2 linked regions of the Oreochromis niloticus genome follow. The protein of the gene in region 2 interacts with the protein of the main gene of each other region in a biochemical or structural test. Links are inferred from orthologs where the notes say so. Each region holds a gene or a part of one and is shown on either strand. Other genes may lie near its edges.

Region 1 (3,756 bases), on a different chromosome or scaffold from region 2:
CACTGGTGATGTTCCAGAAATATTCCTGTTTACACACAGCCATGCATGATCTGAAAACATGATGTTATCATGTAAAAATATAAAATACAGACCTGTTTATGCTGCATATTTATTTCTACACTTTTGAGAACAGCCTCCCTCTTTTGTCTGTTCAAATACCTTATTGGAAAGTTTGCATCACAATAGCTGTAACAACTCAAATTCACCTATTACTAAATCCTAACGCTTATACAAGTGTAACCATAAGTATTCAAAATTATACCAATATCATATCAGTATCACATGAGCAATTTTGACATGATTATTGCCTAATAAACCCGTCCTGTCCAGCAGATTTATGGAGCACAATCACAATCACAGGTGGGACGTGCAAGTGCGTGTGTGTGTTTATCATAAAATACACTTGATAATGAGGGTGACAAGCTGCAACAACGCCCCCCTGGGAGCCAGAGTCAGGGGAGCCAGAGTCAGGTCCATTAGACCATGAGACCCGGGCTGTCCACGGACGCCCAAGAATAGTGATGACCTGAGGCCACACATCTCGATGACAACCGCGTGAAGGAAGAGGGAGGCCCCACATGGAGCCCCCAAAGCCAAAGGACAAGGGCCCCAGAGAACCAAAGACAATGGGTAACCAACCCCATAAGAGGTTGGCTGTCCCAGCATGAGCCAAAAGAAAGGTCCCAGGTGATGAGAACTGCCTGGCACCTGACAGGGCAGGGCAACCTCACACCCTCCACCACTATGTCCCACAGTGGCCAAGACTCAGAAAGACTCAGACCCAGCCATAATATACACACACACAAATAGGGGGTGGCTGAAGAGCAGAAGGGGGCGGCTGGAGATCAGAAGAACAGGAAATGAATCTCAGTTCTCATGTTTTGTTTCTTCTGCTAATACTGATACTATAGTGTGCACTGCAAGACCCTATGCATGTGTTGGTGCAAGTGAGAGTTTGAGGTGTAAAGGATGAGTATGACTGTATGAACACTAGAGTGCTTTTAAAATTTACAGTTGTGGCATGAACACCTGACAGCTGGTCAACAATGCTCACACTCAATGCCTCAGGTGCCAATCAAATTGAAAAACACACAGCAGTGACGAGTTGTGTGGGGCCACCAAGGTAGCCAGAGTCAGCAGATGGGTCCCAAGTCTGAGAGTCCATCTGGATACAGAGTCATAACACTCAGCCAACAACAAACAAGAGGGACCCATCATTCACGATGTTTAATTTTTAAATACCACAGTTATCATCAGTGCACAGATATTGTGACGTTCACACAATGAACCAAAGGCTGCATACTTTCAAAACCATGGTGGGTGTTTTTATTGCCTAATTTAATAGGTATGCAAATATTAACAGCATATCAGGAATAAAGGTGAATGTTTTGTTCATGTCATGTCAGTGTTGTGTCAGAGTCACAGCAATCTCCTTAATAACTGTCTACTTCAGCCACAGCTGAACCACAGCTTGTAATTCTGGAAGCAGAGCGCTCTAATTTCTAGTTCACCTTGGCTAATTATAAGATGAAGGAAGAATGACGATGAAGGTTGTGATGAAGTTAAAATTACAAGTGAAAATAAGGAGAACAAAGTAAAGCAGGTATATCTTTGAGATCAGATCAATGTGAGGTCACACTCTAATGATAATTACTTTTCCACATTGTGTTGCTTTGTTTGTAATCGCCTGATCTGTTGTTGTGTCCTCTTGTTGTCATCACAACAGTCAACATTTCATCCTGTTATTCCCTCTCAATATTCACAAATCCATAGAAAAGCATGTCAACATGTGCTCTGATTTAAACTATATTTGAAAAAACTCTTCACTTTGTCAAGTAGAACATAAATCAGTTATACTGGGGTGGATGCATTAGTGCAATTATGAAATGCTTGTAGTATTCGTACACTAACTGCATTTGAGAAGACACTGATACCAGTGTAACTGCCTTTGAATGATTTTTAATAACAGGAAATATGTTATTCATGCAGCTACTTTCTTGTCTTTGATCCTCTCTCTGTTTGAATGTCAAAGTATCTGGTCCTTCACAGTGTAATGTTTCCACAAATGGTGTGTTGATTACAGGTATGACATGGTTTCTTACCTTGAGCTGAGCCAGGTCATTAGCAGATGAGGGCCTCCCCAGTATGTGGCCGCTAACCAGTGTTTGCTGACACAGCAGGGCCAATACGCCCCACAGAACCTCAGTTCTCATGTTATGTTTCTTCTGCTAATACTGATACTATAGCGTGCACTGCAAGCTTTTATATACAGACAGCCTCACATACACAACCATCTACATACACTTACCATGCACCAGACAGGCAGTGCCATCATTTTGTAGACGGCCTCAAGTGCATTCTGACACCTCTAAATGATAAGGCCACTGGTCAGATGTCTCTTTAAGTGGCGCTTGGTGGTAAGTGACGTGTGTGTGCGTGTGTGTGTGTGTTTGTGCATGTGTCTATGTATACAGTATATGTGTCTGTGTATCATCATGCTTACCAGCCAGCAGTGGCATGACCTAAGGAGCCATCCTGGATCTCCGAGCTGTGTATTGGGAAGAATGTCGTTTCACTATGCATATACTTAACACTGTCTACACTCCCAAGAATGAAACGTACCATAGTAGGTTAAAACTGCTGCTTGTGGTTGCATGGTTTAGATTAGGACAGGAAGGAAACAATGTTATAGTCAAAGGAATATAAACAGGATTGTGAATATGATTTATTACCATAACTGAAGGCATTTTCTTCCTGTCATGAGTTTGTAAGGCAGGAATAATACAGCCTATAATCTAAACTTGTAGGTGCAGTAGATAAAGACATGAACTGGGAGTATTATAGAAAAGAAGAAGCGTATACTGTAAATATGTTTCAATAATGGGTGACCTTTAATAGAAAGTAGACAAGAATTACATAGACTCAAATTTCAAGAATCAATTATAATACATACGTATTTTATAAATAACAATTTTCACATATTTAAAGAAATATTAACAAAGTAAATATTTGGGTTTTAATGTTTATTCAATGTGTTTCACAGTTAAGAGTTACACAAACACCATGTTCTCATTTTATACTGTAACTCCACAGTATTATTCAGACAAACCAGAGCCTGAGGTCTTTATTAGTTTGTAGGGTCTCCTCGTCTTTGCAATCGCACATTTTGGAAGTGCAGACTTTAATGCACTATGATAAGAGATTGCATGTCATGGGTGGAGCTTTGTCTTGTTCCCTCATTCATAAGGCACATGAATGGCACATGTAATAAGGGATGTGCTTCACACAGACTCCTAATAATCCTGCACATTTGAATTCTAAGGAGTCATTTTAATTTCCCTTTTGGAGACAATTAAAAAACAATTTTAAAAAATCACAAAGCTACTCAAAACTAAACACAACTGAAATAAATAAATAATACTTAGAGAATCATTCATTTCATTTTGCTGAGAAGACTAATACCATTGTCACACACAGACCTCATGTTTAAAACATACAAAAACTTTTTTTTATCTGCTTGTGCTTTTTCTTTACACTCTTGGCATGGGACAATCCTCCATAGCTGATCAAGCTCCCAGAGGACCTTGTAGTACCTATGATGGCTTTCAGAGCTAGAGCTGGGTGATCATGGGGAATGTGACATATTTGGGCAATAAAAGATGAGATTTATGCGGCTTTGCAGCATTACAAATGTGCCACATACACTTGCACAGTGTGCCTTTACCTGCCTTCAGGCTTTGGGCAGACCAGGACATT
Region 2 (3,756 bases):
GCTGTCAGCCAAATCCAGTGACCTAAAGTCAAGACTTATTTCAGACACCGTCTAATTAAGGGAGACGCTTTAAAGTGACTAAGGAAAGCTGCTTTACCTCCCATGTCATTGATGCTTCGCAGGAGCTCGTCCGTGTCCAGGGGTTTGTCTTCAGTTAACACATAGCTTTCGATGTTATAGTTACTCATCAGATGGTATACTCCTTCTAACGTGAAGTAACAGTTCCGCTGCTCCCGGTCGTCCTCGAAGACCAGCAGAGCGCTCTTCCAGGTGAAGTGTTCAAACATCGCCGTGAAAGTCTCTGCCATTTTCACGTAGGACGGGGCGATGCGAGTCAGGTGGGAGTATTCTTTGTTCTTGTTCGCGAAACCCGTGGCGAGGGCACCTGCCGAGATCACCGGGATGTTCCAGTGGGACGCCAGCCTTACCACTGCCGCAGCCTCGTACTCGCACACAGGACCCAGGATCAGGTCGGGCTTCTGTCCGCAAGACCTGTCCGCTAATGTGAAGAAAGCATCATAGAGGCAGTCGGAGTTTTCAAACTGGATGTTGAAGTTGAACCCAGAGTACTGACCCCCGTCCGCCTTCAGTCTCTTTTGTGCGTAATGGATCGCTGGTGCGACTCGTTCATATGAAAAAAGATAAGAATTATTTTGTGGCAAAAATACCAAAACATCTATGTCCTCGGTGATGGTGTTTGTCATAACTGGGCTCAGGGCTACCAAGAAATAGACACATAGTGTTCTCAAATGTGGCATGGTAGCACTTCCTCTTCAAGACAGACAGCAAAAGACTTTTAGAGAAATATTCTTCCAATGTTCCTTCCCTCAAGTTGGCTCTCGGCAGCGCACATAGAGCTGCAAACAGAAAGCCCTCTGTCGTTAGTAAATGCCTTAATAGTAAATAACTGTATTTGTCTTTGGGAGAAGCCAATCTGCCAGAATGGGTGTGTTTTATTCTGCATTTAGAGTCGCTTCCCAAGCTTCTGAACCTGTTCAAACTATTTTCTCAACAGTTGATCGTGCCAGGCTCGGAAATTCTTCCAGCTCAGTCAACAGCCATCATACACGCTGGCTCCGGCCTGGAGTTTAGAAGCATCTTTTCAGGATTATTCATGCGTCATCGGAGCGCTGCCCACCTCCTTCTTAAAGCTACACCGCTCCCGAGCGCACAATGAGCCACTTCAACGTAGCACGACTTAATGCGCTCCAGTTAATGCAGATGACGGCTCTTTATTTCTTGTTGATCAAGCTCTAACCATCTGTAACACAGCTATAGATCATTTATTTAGACAGGGTCAAACTGCAGGTGTGCATGGACTCTGCAGTAACCAAGATTTCTGTACAGACATTTTCAGCATTAGTAGCAAATAAGTCGAAAGACTGGTGGAAAAATGTGACCAAAAATTAAAATTTTGATGTTGATGGTATACAAACGATTTAAATGAAGCCCTAAGTTCTTTATTTTTTAAATGTTGGCAGTGAACTGGCAAAGAAATCATTTTAAGCTCAGCAGTGCATGCTTACACTGCTGACAAGCCTCTTGCAAAAACACTGTACACCATAAACAACAGTATAAACGACAAATTACAAGTCATGTCCGTGAGAAACAGGAAGAAACCCAGCAAAGATCTGACACAGGACCTGAGAGATGCATCTGACCCTCCAGTGGATCCATCTAATGTCACTGAGGCATCATCAGAAATGCTCCCAGTGAAAGCGTTGTTGTCAAGAAGCCATTCTTAAGGAAACAGGGAGGAAAGGCTGAGGTTTGCCAAATTACTCCAGAACAAGAAAAAACAAGAAAAGGACAAACATAAAGCAGAGATGTGTTTCTGTCAGAGGGGTTAATGTGTGGAATAGTTATGACAGTGATTTAAAAAAGGTGTACTTCATTTTCCTTGTTTAAAAACATGTTTAAAACTAGAGTTTCAAGAATGAAATGAGCAATAATAATAATACTGAAACTCTTGGTTGTTTTGCTTTGATTATTGTTATGAAATTTAATTTAATGTATTTACTTATCTAAGGTGGAAGGTTTTATGTTTTGTTTTTTGTTTGTTTGTTTTGCTCTTTTGCTTCAAGCCCTGTGTACACGAGCTGCACACTAAATGATCTTTTGTTTAAAGGCTTGGCGTAATACGCATGTGATTAGCTTTGTCTCATGCTTTCTTGCTTTGTGGTAGATCTTAATTCTGTATTCATTGAGATATTTGAATGCTAATCAAATAAAAATAAATGTTAAAAAATCACTGGAAGGCCGTATGGAGTGGAGAATCCAGATTAGCCTTTTTGGATCCAAATCGCCATCAGTATGTTCAGAGGAGCTCAGGATGGAGGTACCACAAGTGAGGGTCTACAGCACAGGTGTCGAATTCCAGGCCTCAAGGGCCAGTGTCCTGCAGGTTTTAGATGTATCCTTGATCCAACACAGCTGATTTAAATGGCTAAATGACCTCCTAAACATGTCTTGATGTTCTGCAGAGGCCTGGTAATAAACTAATAATTTGATTCAGGTGTGTTGGCCCAGGGTGAGATCTAAAACCTGCAGGACACCGGCCCTTGAGGCCTGGAGTTCGACACCCCTGGTCTACAGCATGGGTCCCCAATCCCAGTCCACGAGGGCCGGTGTCCCTGCAGGTTCTAGATGTGTCCTTGATCCAACACAGCTGATTTAAATGGATAAATGACCTCCTCAGCATGTCTTGAAGTTCTCCAGAGGCCTGGTAATGAACTAATCATGTGATTCAGGTGTGTTGACCCAGGGTGAGATCTAAAACCTGCAGGGACACCGGCCCTCGCGGACTGGGATTGGGGACCCCCTGGTCTACAGTCATCTTTGGAAAACAGTGGAGGCTCGGTCGTGGTTTGGGGCTGTGTTTCAAAGTCTCTGATTGGACAATGATCCCAAAGATGCTACCAATGCAGTAACTGCATACCAAGATAGAAAACACACAACACAACATTATCAGTAACAGACTGGCCTCCCCGGAGTCCAGATCTCAAAATCATTGAATAGGTGTGGGATCATCTTGATAGAAAAGCTTTGAACGTCCTTCAAGAAGCCTCGAAAACTATTCCTGAAGACTGCTTGGAGGAATTAAAAGAAAGCTGCCAGACAGATATCAGTCTGTGTTGAAGAATAACCGCAGCCGTGGTGAAGCCGTATGAAACAGATAAATTGTAAATAAAACAGTAGACAGATAGAACAAGTGTGTGCACAGTGATGGAGTTCACGGCCTGTACTAAGAACACAAACAGCAGAGAGATCCAAACGAACAGAGTGAGCGACTCCTGTGAATGAATAAACAAAGCAAACAAAAAAGCTTCAGCTCATAACCTCTGCACTTATCATGGCTCATTAACATGTGTCACTAATGACCCTCCTACTGACGCTGTCTAAAGACACCTTTTGTTTGCTGGCATTCAGACTGCAGTCTGCTGACGTTAGTGCTGATGTTTTCCACAGATTTTGTAACATTTAAAATCATTACATGGAAAATGATGTGGAAAGCATTTTACAGAATGTAAAGAATAATTCTGCACATCTTTATTTATTGTACAAATTACACCAATTAGACCACTGCCTAGAGAAATTATGAAATTATGGTCATTAGGCTCAGCTCAGCGCACATGTAATCTCATCTTTTACGTCTGGATTCATGTTTATTTTTGAGAAGGAAGTCTGAGCAGACATCCTGCTGAACCTGTAGGCTCAGCTGTGCCTCTGCTCTTTTTGTTGTTGATCATTTCTGAC

Evidence for each region.
Region 1: the proteins of npr3 (region 2) and nppa form a complex in vitro, tested with the Homo sapiens proteins (4 studies listed by BioGRID, with this or other methods). The link is inferred for Oreochromis niloticus from reciprocal best matches to the Homo sapiens genes NPR3 and NPPA.

What each region holds. Positions count from the first base shown.
Region 1 is NC_031984.2:35,514,723-35,518,478, forward strand, and holds the start of nppa (natriuretic peptides A), read right to left. Parts: upstream 2,311-3,756; 5' UTR 2,214-2,310; coding exon 2,103-2,213; intron 1-2,102.
Region 2 is NC_031977.2:304,906-308,661, forward strand, and holds the start of npr3 (atrial natriuretic peptide receptor 3), read right to left. Parts: upstream 2,193-3,756; 5' UTR 759-2,192; coding exon 98-758; intron 1-97. UniProt on the Homo sapiens protein: Receptor for the natriuretic peptide hormones, binding with similar affinities atrial natriuretic peptide NPPA/ANP, brain natriuretic peptide NPPB/BNP, and C-type natriuretic peptide NPPC/CNP.